Kluyveromyces lactis: one gene and its partners. The protein of the gene in region 2 interacts with the protein of the main gene of each other region in a pairwise test. Links are inferred from orthologs where the notes say so. Each region holds a gene or a part of one and is shown on either strand. Other genes may lie near its edges.

What was found.
Region 1: the proteins of VPS21 (region 2) and MRS6 interact in binary tests that used the Saccharomyces cerevisiae proteins (3 or more experiments, as listed by UniProt). The link is inferred for Kluyveromyces lactis from reciprocal best matches to the Saccharomyces cerevisiae genes VPS21 and MRS6.
Region 3: the proteins of VPS21 (region 2) and MUK1 interact in a two-hybrid assay, tested with the Saccharomyces cerevisiae proteins (2 studies listed by BioGRID, with this or other methods). The link is inferred for Kluyveromyces lactis from reciprocal best matches to the Saccharomyces cerevisiae genes VPS21 and MUK1.
Region 4: the proteins of VPS21 (region 2) and GDI1 interact in binary tests that used the Saccharomyces cerevisiae proteins (3 or more experiments, as listed by UniProt). The link is inferred for Kluyveromyces lactis from reciprocal best matches to the Saccharomyces cerevisiae genes VPS21 and GDI1.
Region 5: the proteins of VPS21 (region 2) and PEP7 interact in a two-hybrid assay, tested with the Saccharomyces cerevisiae proteins (4 studies listed by BioGRID). The link is inferred for Kluyveromyces lactis from reciprocal best matches to the Saccharomyces cerevisiae genes VPS21 and PEP7.

Annotation. Positions count from the first base shown.
Region 1 is NC_006040.1:533,110-536,920, forward strand, and holds MRS6 (GTPase-activating protein MRS6), read right to left. Parts: upstream 2,364-3,811; coding exon 531-2,363; downstream 1-530. Other genes in the region: KLLA0_D06215g (uncharacterized protein), read left to right, coding at 1-35; KHA1 (Kha1p), read right to left, coding at 3,423-3,811. UniProt on the Saccharomyces cerevisiae protein: Substrate-binding subunit (component A) of the Rab geranylgeranyltransferase (GGTase) complex. Binds unprenylated Rab proteins and presents the substrate peptide to the catalytic component B.
Region 2 is NC_006039.1:1,172,157-1,174,471, reverse strand, and holds VPS21 (Rab family GTPase VPS21), read right to left. Parts: upstream 1,144-2,315; coding exon 517-1,143; downstream 1-516. Other genes in the region: KLLA0_C13750g (S-adenosylmethionine-dependent methyltransferase), read right to left, coding at 1-147; type 2C protein phosphatase PTC5, read right to left, coding at 1,554-2,315.
Region 3 is NC_006041.1:2,073,719-2,077,180, reverse strand, and holds MUK1 (guanine nucleotide exchange factor MUK1), read left to right. Parts: upstream 1-1,418; coding exon 1,419-2,960; downstream 2,961-3,462. Other genes in the region: phosphatidylinositol-3-phosphate-binding protein BEM1, read left to right, coding at 1-139; KLLA0_E23343g (uncharacterized protein), read right to left, coding at 419-949; BTS1 (farnesyltranstransferase), read right to left, coding at 3,016-3,462. UniProt on the Saccharomyces cerevisiae protein: Putative GTPase-activating protein.
Region 4 is NC_006042.1:852,954-856,181, reverse strand, and holds GDI1 (Gdi1p), read right to left. Parts: upstream 1,869-3,228; coding exon 531-1,868; downstream 1-530. Other genes in the region: Sm-like protein LSM2, read right to left, coding at 1-126; KLLA0_F09163g (putative hydroxyacid dehydrogenase), read left to right, coding at 2,379-3,228. UniProt on the Saccharomyces cerevisiae protein: Regulates the GDP/GTP exchange reaction of SEC4 by inhibiting the dissociation of GDP from it, and the subsequent binding of GTP to SEC4. Plays an essential role in the yeast secretory pathway.
Region 5 is NC_006040.1:1,128,045-1,131,539, reverse strand, and holds PEP7 (phosphatidylinositol-3-phosphate binding protein), read left to right. Parts: upstream 1-1,410; coding exon 1,411-2,985; downstream 2,986-3,495. Other genes in the region: KLLA0_D13200g (uncharacterized protein), read right to left, coding at 1-1,208; NMD2 (Nmd2p), read left to right, coding at 3,268-3,273, 3,357-3,495. UniProt on the Saccharomyces cerevisiae protein: Required for vacuole segregation and vacuole protein sorting. Possibly part of a complex which tethers the vacuole membrane to microtubules, either directly or via kinesin or dynein-like motor proteins.

The DNA of each region.
Region 1 (3,811 bases), on a different chromosome or scaffold from region 2:
TAGAATCATTACTGGAGATAAGAAGCCGCCTCTGAGCTTTAATTTAATGTTTTTTCCTCGCTTTCGAGAATGACAATTAAATCAAAGAGCAGTTAAGAAGCCGAACACTATTCTTTTGTTAACTTTATGTATGAGAAGTTAGGTTAATATCATGTATAATCTTAATTAAGGTTTTGCTATTTTTGATTTCCAGGAACTGAAAACAAGTATGAATTTTTCCTGCATCTGCCTTCTATGGATAACTTAAATAACGTTTCGTTTTAAGATTCCCAGGTAGTGGGTTGAATAAAGGTATGTTTATATCAAAGAGTGCAATTCGCAGTAAGAAATACAGCTGGATCCAAAATATGCTTATGTGACGCAAATCTTATCTAGAAGATGTCACTTTTTTCTTTTGTGGATAGATAATTCCATATAATACAAGGTTAGACACATCGGGTTATTTCAATCAATCTGTCAAAGAAGGAATACTGATGCTATTGGAATTGAAAGCATTGTCGCTTGAAAACTTGAAGAAGCTTGACGCTATGTCATATTTCCATCTCGCCTGCAAATTCAACTGGCTCTGAGTCCATCATTTGAATATCTTCTTCATCATCTGCGATAGCACTTTCATCGTAGCTATTAATTGTTTTATTGGTATTTTTTAGATCTGGTTCGTCATTTTCAAAATCAAGGTCGAAGAAATCGTCATCACTTCCTACTATTTTTTCATAAAGGAACTTTGCTGCAGTAATAACTTCATCATATGACACTTCTCCTGATGGCAACGAAGTATAAAGAATTCCATTATCTGATGCGCCAGGAATAAATTCTTTAGATTTATTCAAATCAAATAAGTCTGGAGTAACAATATCAAATGGAGGAGTGGATGTGTATTGAGTATAGTACAATTTCATGATGAAGTTTACCCGTTCTTTTGAAATGAGTTCTTTGAACGACTGTCCCAGTTTTACACTGTTGACTAGTGGAACGCCATTTGAATTGATTTGTACAAGTTCATCCTCATTGGGTATATCCGAGGACTCCCTTAAAATACTATTGATCATTGCTTCAAGTGCAGCATCAAGGTCCAAATCACCTCGAGGACCGGCTTGAGTGGTTGAGAAGTACCAAACGCAAGTACCTGGTTCGCAAACTTCGGCTCCTGAGCCTAAAATCACCACCTGTACGGCTTCAACGTTTCCTGTCTTCAATGAATCAGGTGGGAACACGACCATAGCAGCACTTTCTCCTTCACTGAACCACTGTGAGCAGTCTTTTTCCACAACACAAGTGAGCCTATGCACTTCGTACTTCTGGGGAGGAATGTTACCGCCATTCTGGGGATGTTGGGTAGGGGATGCGACAACCTTTTCTGTGACTCTTACTCTTGAACCGTCTTCAAAAACCGCAGTCTGGGAGTTCGGATCGTATGATACCAATTTATGATTGAGTTTATAAGTGGCACCAGCCACTGCTGCTGATCTGCAGAATCCTTGAGATAGTTCTCCCGGCCCACCATACTTTGAATATAGGACTGGGAAAGGTCCGTAAACGTCAAAACTAGTTAAAAATCTTCTGATCCTTGCTAAACCTTCTGGTGTCTTAGTATCCAGATTACGACACATACCAATTGAAAATATTAATTCAAAAACTTGAGGTTTTTCTAGCTTGAATTTATCGACTAGGAAACTAGCAAGTGGCTGTTCAGCGTATGGTTTCCAAATGTCCGTGCTTTTTTCCCATTCTAGCACAAATTTAATGAAACGCATTAAATTGCGTTTCGTCATCAATGGAAGAGTTTGGTCAGTAAATATTTCTTGTTTCGAGTTCGTTAACCTTTCAAAGTTATCATTCTCAAAGGTATGGAAGTTGGATAACGATTGGAACTCCAAATACTGATGTACTCTTGATTTAATTAGAACTGAGAGTAGATCGGATTGTGCAAATAGAATCTTGGGACTTAAATCAATACCAAAATTCTTGGATTTGAATTTCCCCTGAGCTACCAACCCGGAGACATAGAGTCTGGCATCTTTGTAAAACCGTGTTTCGTCTGAGTCTTCATTCACTTGATTTGTCCAATTCTTCAACTGATCAATTGTCATTGTAGCCCATGTGTCCCCATAATAGTTATTGGAATCTATATGCAAAACGGTGGATCCCTGCCATGCTAAAGAAGCAGATAGAATACTTTCAATCAACCCGGTACCAGCAATGAGTACATCCACTTGTTCCGGTGTAGTTTCCGGTAAAGGATCCTCGATACCAGCCAAATGTGGCACAACGAGGGAAGTTGATTGTAAGGAGCCGTCAGGACCGGGAGAAAAGAAGGAAGGACGACGTTCCGCCATAGAAGGGCGGCGCTCGGCATTCAGCATTTTAATTTTTTTCCGCTTGTAGTGTTTAACCGAGACTTTAGATTAAATATAGCTTATTCTATAACCAGTTCTTATGTCTCTTTAAGGGAAAAGCGAGAGAACAAAAAGTCAGATATGAACGACCTTAGAAATTCCAAAAATAGCCTGATACGGTTCAGAGGTTGGAATTTTACTAGTAATGAGATTATTCACAGGTTCCTGTAATGTTATTAGGAATTCTGTAAAGCCTAATTTTGAGCGGTTTGCAAGAACCAAAAAAAAATTCTCAACCGCCAATATCGCTCAAAGAATGACAAAAACAGCACTCTTTCGATCTGCTTCTTATTCCAGGTTCTAGCTTTAGAAAGGTTGGTGCTTTTCGATAATAACAGTTTATTTGTACCACGTACCTGTGGTATTCTGAGGTGGAAACTTTAATGGATATGTATCTTAGTTACGCCTTTAAAAACTGTATTTAATTCGCACAGATAATGAGTATGTGTTTTCAATTTTTTTTTTTTTTTTTTTTTTATCTTCACGGCTGGCAACGAGAAATTTTTTTTTAAACTCGTGAATCATTTCCCGTTATTATCGACAGAACAATACCGGAAACAATAGCAATCAGAGCCCCAGCTTGAAATGAAATATCGCTTTAAAATGATGTGGAAACTAAACGTGTCAGGGTATTTTTATTCAGGGATCGTTTAAACTTGCTGTGCTTTCAGACAAAACTTTACTATGGTAAAATTACAGCGACAGTGCGACATATTTCATTTTTAGTGCTGGCATGTGCACGTGATAATAATACTGTCGCGTCATATTATCTTATTGTATACAAATTTGAGTTAATCACCTTTTTCAATTGTGAAACTCAGATTCGGAACCAGAATCTAGAATCAGGACAGATATAATGTTTCTAATGCATGGATTTACTGGTAATTGATAACGGATTGCCCAACTCTATACTAAAGCACAGCTCAGTGGTGTTATTAAATGCTTATATAAGTAGACGAAATATTGAATAAACAGGGTAGTAATCGGGAACTACTGAACCATTAAACATTTAGGGTTCGTTGTTGTTCACCTATGACAGATGGCTACCGTAGAACCACTTTTAGAAGCTTTCGTTACAAGCACTTTAGAATAATCGTCTAAACATGTAGACTTTATAGAATCTTGTGGTAATACCACCAAACTCTTATTATTAAGTTCGATGTCATTGAAGACATCAACACTCGCAACTGCGGAATCAGTTTCGTTAGTCGATATAGTTGTAATATCCAATTTTATCAGAATGGAGGATCTGAGAATCTCTTGCAGTTCTCCAAGAGCAACCAGATGCTCTGAAACGGTAACAATTTTGATAGTCTTGGCATGTAATCCCATCACTAATCCCAAGAACAAGGCCATATAGTCAGAACCAGTTAAAGTTGAATTTAGTAGATATACAAGAACTGATGTGGGTTGTT
Region 2 (2,315 bases):
CATTTGTTTCTGATGCTCGGACAGTGATTCCCACCTAAGTATTCTGGGTCGCCAGAACTCTTCTAACGCAAATTCCTTGTAACGAAAAAACGAGCTAGCAGTACGCTCCAATAATAGCACATCATTCTCCTCATCTTGGCCATCCATGACAATTTAAAACCCAGGTTGAATCCTTTAGAGTTTCATCACGCATGTATCATCATTCATACATCTCATTACCTGAATAGAGTTCTCTATGATTGAATTCATGAATAATCGATCAATACGGGGATCCGAAAAATTCACTACGCCAATATATATAGAAATAAAATGTAGGTACAAAAAATGTAAATCTAACTGATTTATGTATTACTGGTTATCTTAAACTTCTACTATGATGATATTGGAATATTATAGGCACGGTAGATATCTTGTTCTATTGGCTCCTTTCCTCTGGTTAAAATTAATTTCATCGATTGTTAATATGAATCATTTCGTTAGGCCATTTCCCCTAAAAAGAGGATAGGGTCGTGAGTATTAACAACCACATGAGTTGGGATTCGAGGTATCATCGGGTTTGTTCAAGTCGATCCTTCCATCTTCTGTTCCACGTAACCCATCGGTATTGGACCCATCCGACTTCTTTAAGGGTATTTTCTCTCCAATGGCCAAGAACACTTCGTTGACGTTATCACCAGTCTTAGCGCTAGTCTCGAAGAATAAAAGGTTCTCTTCCTGTGACAATTTTTCAGCCTCTTCTTTGGCTACTTTCCTATCCTCTTCAGATTCCAACAAATCCATCTTATTTCCAACCAATGCGATTACAATCCCTTTGCTCGCTTGTTCGTGTAATTCTTTTACCCAGTGGCGAGCCTTGATAAATGACTGCGGCTTTGTTACATCATAAACCACTAAAGCTGCTTGAGCATTTCTATAATACATTGGGGCCAACGATGCAAATCTTTCCTGACCAGCAGTATCCCAGATTTCAAACTTTATTGTGTGGTCAGCCATATTTACTCGCTGTGTTAGAAAGGCTGCTCCAATAGTGGGTTCTTTATTCTCAGCAAAATCATTGGACACAAAGCGCAAAACAATGGAAGATTTCCCCACCGCAGCTTCTCCTAGGAGTACCAACTTGATAGACGTAACGTTTGAATTCATTTCCTAGTACCTTACAACTGAAAATGACCTTAATATCAATGACGACCAGGTAAATCAAGATTTCTTCTTCGAAAGTTGGTTAATATGATGACTGTATGCTCGAGAGATTGTTTAGAAGAAAATGTGTCTGTCTACAATCTCAAAAACTAATTCGTACACTCTTGTTACCGATAGAGCAATCTGCTACTCCGGTTGTAAACGTTACGTTTCAATAAAAGTAGGGAGCATCGTTCATCCTTTTTTTAGTTTTATTTAGTTTTAGTATCTTTTCCCATAACGAAAACAAGGCTTTTGAATGTTGATAGTAGGTCACGTGCTTGGTGAACCTTCCTTCGAATCAGTGTGTTTATATAAGTGTCAAAAACGGTTATTTAACTAAATAACAACACTTTTATGCTAAGACTGCGGGTTCAGAGTTTAGATTCTTCTGGTTTGGTGGCTTTGTGGTTGAGTTCTAATTTACCATCAATGCCCTCAGTTTCTTCACCGAAAAAGACAACGGTGACAGTCAAGTCGTCTCTGTAACGTCTACTCTTCGTTGGAGGTATACTGACCAATGTAGAAACGTATTCTTTGTTACCGCCTCCACTGAGAGCGTTTCTGATTAGATGAGTTGCTACGTTTTCGTCTTGCATGAGATATTCGCTCTTAGAGTCAGGTTTTTTGGAGCTTTGGTACCTAAAAGCAGGCCTTTGTGCTTCTTTGTCTGGGGAGATGTCTTCTAGCTTTGGTAATTTACCTTGTGGAGATTGTTCCTTCAACATTTTGAAATTCTTTTTGATAGGATGTGATTCCATCCATTTCACAACGAGACCTGCGATTTCGTCATTACTCAACAACTCGAAAAGACCATCAGATCCTAAAACCATGAATTTAGTTTTAGGGTCCACGTTTGTTGTGGTTATTTCCGGCTTTGCTGTTACGTAAGGAGGTGTCAAGAAATCTTTAGGTTCCCTCCTGAAATATATCTTCAAATGGTCAGGTAGATCATAAACGGTTTTCCCATTTATCTCTTTCACTTTGTACCTGTAGTCACCAAAAGCCCTTGAAGGTTGGAGAGATCCTAGTATTCTACCCTGACGTACACAGTTTGGTTCATCAGGGTGCTCCTTCTGGATTCTCTCGACCTCTTGTACATTATCACCAGTCTGATCGGTACTTAAGGATTTTAC
Region 3 (3,462 bases), on a different chromosome or scaffold from region 2:
AATAGCACCTAGAATTGACGCAGATTCTTTTAAGTTGTACATCAAAAACGGAGATGATATTGGCACTCAAGTCACTACTGATGCAGAAGTACCGGTTCTAATTCAAGAGAAACGCAAGATCTTTGTCGATGACAGCTAAGTTATTTGTTGCAAAATTTTATCGTCATAATAAATAATACAAAAAGAACCCCAAGGTGGTCAAAATTCAATTTCTATCCACTGATGGCTTTCATGCTTATCATAATGATGTACTGTACATCGCATTGTAATACTTCAACATAATTTTGACATTAACACTCTTATATTCTTTCACATTAATTCAGTTCAACAAGTAAAAATCAGTTGTTTACATACTCTCTCTATAGGTGTTAATACTTCTATCAAAATGATAATAATACTTCACAAACATGTCTAAGGACTATTCATCCAGCTCTATGTCCATGTCTGCATCCGCGTACGGATCTGTATCGAGATCCATGTCAATGTCCATGTCCGCATTGTGATCAAACTCATCATTTCTATGCATGAGATTCGGTGCCAGATCAACTCTGGAATCTGCTGCAGTCTCAACATTCATATCTACTTCATCTAATTTTGGACTATGCTGTTGGTACCATTTTACCCACAAGCTTGCTACCACAGATCGCCAGTCATACCATTTTATTACCTGCGAGTTAAACTGTCGTACATGATCGAATATTCTTTCATATATCTTATCATTTTTGTTTGAACCACTCAATTCGCGTTCAACTACATCCCACATCCTTTTATTTACAACTGCTTTGAATGAGTTCAACCCTGAATCAATTTTATGTTTCTTTATCCCATCGGTTCCCCTAGGAGCCAACGATAGGTTTTCGAAATCATATATTAGCCGTTGTTTCTTATAGTTATCGATTCCTATCGGGTCAGGACTCCTTGACCTCTTCATCTTGAAGCCTGATGACATTGTATAGCTAATACCTTGCTCATTCGCAGTGAACTATTCTAAGCAGATGATCTGTTCGCTGCTACTTTTGTAGGTGTTGTTTCGTTTGTCCTAATTTATCTTATGGCCAACCGAGAACTTTCTGGAAGCTTAAAATGAAGATCATTAGAAATGTTTGTAAATTCACCCGTTAAGAAAGTTTCGTAGATGAAGCTGATACTACAGGTACTGGTTATCTTTTTCTTGTTAGATATCTCTTGATCGAGCCTTCAATATTGCCTTTAATATGCTTTTTTTCTTTTGTTTCTTCTAAGAGATATGTATTTGATCTTCTTCATAATTAAGGGTTTCGAATGTCTTTTTCATACTGAAACATTTAGTTCACAGCAACTTGGTTTACTTCAACAACGTTATAAGAAAAAGTTTATGATTTCTATCACTGCAAGCTTGTGAATCATCTTTGGACCTGCTCATGTATGGCAATTGAGCTATGTTCCATACTCCCCCATTTTCTAATGCTTCTTTCGATACTAAACAATCCATCACTGAATCTTATCGCGATAGTTTGAATTCGACGATTTCCAATAATAGCGATGCAAAGAAACCGAATGTCATGCTTCAAACTGCCAGCACATCGGCACCTCCATCACCAGAACTACCAATAGAATCTTCAGAATCCAATGATGATTTGATTCCCATTGCTAGTATACCTGATGAATTGATGAAATTGATTGATTTGTTCATTGATGATTTGAAACAGCCTAAATATTCCAGGCCTTTAATGATTACACAATTATCTCAGATATTCCAAAGGTTTTATGAGAGATTTGATAGATCTTGCCAACAACATTTTAATGCATTAGCCTCGCCTGGAAGTGTGAATGTTATGCTCAACGCGAGAGAAACGAGAAATAGTGGATTGAGTAGTATCTTCAACAGATCCAGAAGTAGTAGTTTTCGAAATAGCAGCATAAGAACAAGAACTAGAACTAATTCTGAACAGAATTATCAGCAATTGTTGACTCCAGAAGAAATATCCCATCAAATTAAGCTGCAAGAGGCTAATAATATCAAAACGGACCAGATTATGGATTTGTGTGAATGCGAAATATTCAAGAAAATACTGCAAGTTGGCACTTGTGTCCCAAATCATCCAACAAGACAGGCGAAATCGACTAGTTCGAATGAATGGAAAATGACAAGCCTATTTCGTAATAATCCGGAGTTTATTGAGTTTGATAAGATGTTGAATACTAAATTGAACACGATGAAAGAGTTAAGCAGTTCGCGAATACTTGATTTACCAGCATTTTTAGCGTTAGAGTTGAAACATAAAGAAAGACTTGATATGGTAGGGTTATTATTTGATAAGATGTTACATGAGAATGTATCCCCTTGCGACAAGGTACATTGCCTAATAGTATTGCATGATAAGCTATTGGCTCTTGATCAAAATAACGCTGATGAGATACTTCCTTCGATGATATATCTCTTGATAACAAATCCTCGAAAAGAATTGTTTTTGAACCTCCAGTTCATCAAGCTTTTCAGATTCCATCGAAGGTTGAAAGAGAAAGAATTATATGTCACTACGAATTTTGAAGCCGCGATATCTTTCATTGACTCGTTGACAACTAAGGATATAATAACATATTGCCAACACACTGATGAATTAAAACTTCCGCATTTGGAGTCTATCAGTGAACAAGTGAAACTTCCTCTAGCGACAGAGGAGTCATTTATACCGGATTTCAAAAGGTCTAACTCTCTTTCTGATTTAATATCTGTTGGTAATGTTATTGATTCTGGTTTTAGAAACTTGATGGGTCGCATCAAAACTTATACCCCGCCACCGCCACCACCACCACCGCATGTAGCACAGATACAGGTACCGCTACCAAGCATCGAGGTTACCGAGGGTCCTGCTACCGATTGGAGAAGGTACAAGGATTATAAATTCGAGGACTTGAAGGTTAGTGATATGCAAAGTATATTTGATATATATCGTGATTTAGCTAATAAAAATAAATAATGATGAGGAAGCTAATGAATTAATATATAAGATGGTCGTAATCAATATAATAGAATTAGTCTAACTGGGAGAGTTTCGACAATATATCTTTAACTGAAGAAAGCTCCTTTGGAACCAATTCAGTAGTAACTTTTTGTGCAAGAGTTTGGATAACCTGTCTGGTATATTCACCAGACTTTGTCTGGTGCTCCAAATAACTGAGCAATTTCTCTTTAGTACGAATCTCTGAAGGCCTTGATAAAACTGTTTTAAGGACATAATCATCGTTATCACCTTCATTCCTTGAACTAGCTATGGCATGAATTATTGGGAAGGAAAATTTCCCCTCGGTTAGATCATCAGCGAATCCCTTCTGTTCAAACATTGTCTTGGAGAATAGATTTAAATAGTCATCTCGTATTTGATACAAGATCCCAGCTGCATTAGCTAACGGTATAAGATCATATTTCTGTGCAAGCTCTTTTTTCGACAAGGCATGTAAAAGTCTCACCATTAACCTAAA
Region 4 (3,228 bases), on a different chromosome or scaffold from region 2:
GTTGTCTAATTTTAAGTTCAAAAATTGGTCGACTGATTTTAGAGTACCTGTTAGTTCAATACCGTTCTTTAGTTCGACTTTGACTTCATGATCAACCAGGGTCTTGAAAAATGAAAATAATAGCATGGTTCTGGACAGTACGGCCTTGGTTCAGAGGTCCATGCATTTGACTTTTGAATGTGTTGTAGTTGTATTGTCAAATTTCAACATGAAATTGTTTTAAACAATTTCATGTTGAAGGAAAAAAAAAAGATACATGTACAAAATTGACATACACAACTTCATATGTAGAAGTAGAGAAGCTGCTGGACTTAAGAGGACTAGCTGGGATATTTTTACGTCGATTGCTGAAATAAAACTATTGCCAAAACATTCAAGCTAATATGTGGGGCTAGATAGTAAATAGACAAAAATAAAATGATAATGATAAAGATTGTAACGAAACAAGAAAGTAACGTAAAAGTACGTAGAAGTACGTGAAGGTACGATATTTTCAAAAGTTAGCATCACGGTTATCTCGTAGTTCTCACTTACTCCTCTGCAACATCTTCTCTCTTCTTTAAAACAAGGGGGTGACCAGTAATCCTAAAGTAGATATCCTTGACATCGTCGGTCATGGATTCGAAGTGAGATGAGGAATCGTAAGATTTAGAGATGTAAATGTTGTCTTTAGTGCCATCTTCGATCGGTTCAAAGATTTCTGAAATACCCATGAACCTCTCCTCAATTGGGCCCAACATTTTGAAAGCCGGCTCTAATTCGATATGAGGTTTATCAGTTTCAATGATGGTTGATACACTGGCGAGGTAATGACCCTTCGAAGTAACTTTATGGGCGTCAGAGACAGTAGCAATATAAATGTCGTTCTTTCTTCCAACTTGTGATTGTGGTATAATTATTTGGCAAGAATCAGCATTACTAGTGTTAGGAACAGGTTGTTTAGTGATGCAAATTGCTCTGATCACCTTTTCACCTGTAGTTTTACATTTCTCAGGGAAGTATGTTGGATCTGCGATGACTATTGGTGCTTTTGCAGTACCTTCTTTGGTGACAATACCTTCGAATTTACCATCGTCTGAGTATAAAACCTTTTCAATTGGGGTATTTAGCATGTATGTCCCACCGTAAATAGCTGATAATCTAGCAAATCCTTGAGGCAATTCGCCCAACCCATACATAGGGTAAATATATGGAGATTTACCAAACCTGGAAATCGATTGCACATATAGGATAATTCTTTCCACTGATGGTCTAGCAGGTTGTTGCAGATAATCGTCATTGGTCCAAAGGGCCATTGCGTGTCCAATAAATTCTCTGGTTGAATTTCCTAAGCCAAATTTGTAGTATACCTCATCCATAGTGTTTTGATCCAAGTTTAAGCCCTGATGTGTGGCGATATCTTCTTCATTGTATGCACTGATCCATTCCAAGAACTTCTTCATCCTTCTTTTCTCGAAGATACCCAATAAAGAAGATGAAATAGCCTCCATTTCGTTAGCAGGAACTTTATATACTTTACCTCTGTTGTAAACGTACGAGCCAGCAACTTGCTTGAACTCGATATATCTGGTGACGTCAGTATGAACCAAAATGTTAGTCAATTCACCATTCGCCATCAAGAACTTAGGAATCAAATCCACGTTCCAATCTCTATCCTTGCCAAACTTTGACTCAATGTCTTCCTTACTCAAAGGATGTTGTTTGAATTTAGAGTATAGTTGCGTTAATGTGACACTGGATGATTCACCACCATAATGGTCCTGTCTGTCAACATGTAAGACTTTTTTCCCCTCGATTGAGAGTAAGCCAGATAATATACACTCGGTAAGACCTGTCCCAAGGACGATAACATCATAATTTTCGTCCATTATTACAAGCTTTTGTCAATTCGACGTTCTATGAACTAGGTCCAACGTTTCCTATCTAGTTGAAGGTAGCCCTACGTTTGAAGTCGTTATTGTTTTCTTGCTAAATACTATGATCCTCCCTATTATTGTTATTTTTATTGTAACAATCGCACTTTCTTTATTTTCAACACTAATTCAAGGTTAAAAGACAAACGTTCTAGACGCATATAACTGCATTCAGTTCAGGCATTGATCTCGAGCGTTAACAAACTAGTTGGACAATTTCAGATGCTCATAAATTGCTGAAGATCCAGGAATGTTCAGCACCTCGAAAGGTAGTATGTCAGTTCAACCAATATCGTAAAATAGTGACTGAAGTTTTCTTCACGTGACCCAGATCTGTGAACGGAGGTTTCAATATTAATTATAACAAAGACGATCCTGGGTTGGCAGAGAAAAACTCGGATCCCTTCACTGCAAAGTTTATACACAAAACCATATTCCCTCATTTGTCCCAAACTTCGTTTCACGATGGACAGGCCATGGATACTATTCATAGCTGAACCTGAATACAGTTTACAGGAATATAAGCTTTTGCAAAAAGAGTTCAACACGGTTAATTACACACTTGAACGAGATGTTGATGGCACTGGTAAGGAAGCATTTCTAACTTTCTTGGACCAGCATTCGAAGCAAAAGGGTCCAATTGTCGGAATATTTGGAGGGTATCCACAATTCGCTCCCTTAGGTGGTTTGAGTGCAGAAATCTTGGATGATCATCGTTGGCCTGGGTCGATCAAGTGCATATGTCTGTGTTCTGTAGGTTACAATTGGCTCGACCTGAAGTCACTACGGGAAAAGGGCATTCAACTGTACAATTATGACGACATGATACAGGACTCTGGAATTGTAGCCAACGACGTTGCAGATTGCGTCCTCTGGCACGTTCTAGATGGGTTTCGGAAATTCTCAAGTCAGGCACATGCATTGAGATCAGCAAGAAACACTATCAAGGCTCGTTCAGAAATCGTACTGGAACACGGTGAAAACAATTCACCAAGGTTCGAATTTGGGCACAGATGGAAACGAGGAACCTTTAATGAAAGTTGTCGGAACAAGAGATGTCTCATTATGGGACTTGGACGTATTGGAATCCAGTGTGGTAGGAAATTGGATTCCGGATTAGGAATGGAAATACATTACACGCAGAGAAATCCGGTTACAAAAGAACAAATAAGCTCGGACACTTATATCCAGAAGTGGCAATTCCATCCAATCTCTGAGCTACTTGAGTCTGATTTTCAGGATGCGCATGGAAGCAGTCCATGCCTTGAAACGTTTGATTGCATTGTAATATGTCTACCAGGAAATGCATCAACAC
Region 5 (3,495 bases), on a different chromosome or scaffold from region 2:
TCATTTTGATGTTCTAATCTTAGAACCAAGAAGTCAAACATATTGGCGAATGTGACAGCTAAGGGGTCCTTTTCAGTACTTTTATTGTCGAAGAATTCATAACTAAAATCTGTTGGAAACTTAAATGAGTGTACTATAATTTTAGGCACTTTTACAAGCCACACGTCAGTCAATTTATAAACACAGTAAACCAAAAAAATCACCTGAAACATCCGCTTTAAACTCCTAAGCTCTTTTGGACCCTGCAAGATACCGCTTAATTTCACCAGTTCAAGTTGATACCATGCAATTCGTTCTCTCAGTTGTACTGTGGTCATGATGTCAGCTTGGTTTGAGGAAGAAGTGAGCCTACACAACAACGAGGTATCTTTCTCAATACATTCTTCATAATTCCTGATTCGATCCCGTATCACAGACTCACTAGACCACAACAGATCAACATTGTTATGTATAGTGTATTTTGTATCTCTTTTGTTCCGATGTCTAAAATATTGATAGGCATAATACGGTGTGGAGACTGATGCCAATCCGGACAAAATTCCCATTACAGTCACACCGATCACTGATGCCTTAGTCAATAGATTATATGTGTAGCCAAACGGTCCAATGGTAAGGAAATGCAAGAAAGTTAGCCATAGAATAGTAATGCCAATGGTTACCGGCACTAATTTGTGCATGCTGACCTTGTCTTCGAAGAATTTCGTCAACAAGAACACCAGTATCAGGAAAGGTTGTATCAAAATCAATGAGATGAACAATAAAGCTAACAAGCCTGGCCATATAATTGACGTCACCAAGTTAGCCTCGGCATTGGGGTCTGCTACTTTTATCTGCCATAATACAATTTCAACTGCTACAACGTAAGCAGAAAATGTAGCACAAAATATGACTCGTACTGCATTGTAAACCTTTCTAGAAGACAACGAATACTCGGAATAGAACTTGTGAAAGAAGCTACTGTTTGAATCTGGCAAAGATATCACAGTAGCAGGATCTGACTCATTGTTCGTTAATGTAGAAGATGGTAGAATATCAAATAACTTCTGGATTTTAAACCATAGTACATGATATGATCTATCGAAAACCAACCAAAACGTTAATAGACAAAACAGCAGAATGAACATATCATCAAGGATCAATTGGCTTAAACACGTTGATCCGTTCGGAGTAGTAATAAGTGTTGTATAGACTAATGTAACGTGTCTCATACCATTACGCAAAGGTTTTGTTAGATCGTCAAGCTTAATGTTCTCTTTAATTGCATTTGAAAAGCATGAAACGAAAGTTAACGATTCGAAGCTTTTATTCCTAAGGGGAGGAAGGAACTAAGTCTCACAGTTGGATTATTCAAGCTAGTTCCTTTCCATGGGATTTATGATGGTGAGGTAGTATATCTATTTATAAAGCCCAATGACAGAAGGAAATGGAAGGTGGTTGGGCTCGGCGAGTTCGACTGGACAACATGATAGAAATGTCGAGGCCGTAACTTGCCCAGTTTGCGGAAATGAGTTGAAGAGTTTGAGAAAGCTCAACGTCCACTTGGACAATGTACACGGTTTTAACGATGAAAGTGCGTCCGATGTCGATAGCTCAAGAGAGTCAAGTGTCATTGGTTTGAACACATTGGTTCAAGAAAGGACTCATGAAAGACAGAGTAAGGGGAAATTAAAGATGAATACATCTCACTGGAAGAAACCAGTAGAAGGCAAATCGGTATGTTTTGAGTGCGGTTGTAAGTTAAACGCCAGAAACGGTATGATCAATTGCCGCAAATGCGGCGAACTTTTCTGTTTAAGGCATTGTAGAAATGCCATCAAGTTGAATGAAAACGGTGAATACGATCCGGCGAGCAATGTATGGTGTAAATGTTGTCACAAGTGTTATATCAATAGGAAAGGTTACAATGACTACGGACTGACTAGAAATATAACACAAGCTTTCGCTAAGATAAGAAAGTTGAAGAACGAGGATGGAGAACTTATCACTTTGCAGCTAGAAAACAGGCTATTGAGACTAATAAATGGGATAATTCAATTACATGTACGACATCAGTCATCGGTCTTTGCAACGTTCAGGATCAGAGCAGGAATTATAGCTTTGGAACGATCAATCGTAGAGTGGAAGGATGATCAAATGGCAACCCAATGCGGCATATGCTCTCAGCCGTTTGGACTCTTGATGCGGAAACATCATTGTAGATTATGCGGTCAGATCGTGTGCGATAGACAAGAAACTCGATGTTCCAGCGATATTCCAGTCCTGAACCTGATGAGTGCGGCCCCAGACCTTTCCTTCGAGAATGTCGGGAACTTAAAAGCAATATCAGACCTTTCTACAGGAGTTAGAATTTGTTCCTCCTGTCTGAGGTATGTCTTTGCAAAGCGTAAGCTCCAATTTAGTAAGGCATTGAAACTACCGGAAATTTTACAACAGTACGAAAATCTCCACAACCTCGAAACGCTTGTAGTAAATTTACTCCCCAGATTCCAGAAAGCATTAGATTCGATACATAATGCACCCGCTTCAGATGAGACTGCGATTCAAAACCTAGCACAATTAAGAAGAAAGCTATTACAAAATTTAACGCTTTATGACAAATTATCAAAAAGCATTGTTCAGTTGGATACAAAATCAACAGCAGAGAAGAAAATACAACAGTCAATTGCCCTACATGCATCAGCGTTCATCGAGGAGAAAATGCTACCCTTGAAAAAAATACCAGAAATCTTGAACCCTGTGTCACAGAAAGTAGAAGTCACAACATCATCGGATCTTTTGTTCAATAATTTAACAATTGCGGAAGTAAAGAAGTACAGAGAAGAACTTATGGTTTTGAATGAACAACGATACTTAGTCGAAAATATGCTTAATTCAGCTGCCAAGGAAAGGCGCTTCGAGGAAGCGATATCCTTGAAAACTAATCTTTCAGAAATTGATCAGAACATAGTGCATTTAGAAAGTAAGCTAGGTGATGAAGGCTTTTAAAATTATTATTTAACACTCAATTAGGTGTATATTCTATTGAACCATATAAACACTCTTCTATCACAAGCACGATAATATAAATGCAACCAAAACTCTATCCGTTTCGCTCTGTAACTTATTGTCGAGATGCCAGTATGAGAAAGCCCTTTGAATAAAAAAAAAATCCTGTGAAATGTTAATTCTACCAAAGTCATCGAACAAAAGTTCTGTTGAAATCACGTCACAGCGACAGCAAGAACTTTACGCACCGACTTTGAACCTATCCAATCGTCAAATAACATAATGAACGTATGTGTACGCTTTTAAGTGGTCGAGAGTTTTCGAGAATACTAACAGAAAGCCTTGCTTTTATGGATTGAATTTGTGTTTAGAATGAATGGAGATCAAGCTTGAATGAAATTAACAGTATGGCGTGGACCGGGATTGACGTATTCCCTGATAAAGCCAAGAAACTTGATTCTAGTATTAAGAGGAATACGGGTTTCATTAAGAAGTTGAAGCAGGGTATTG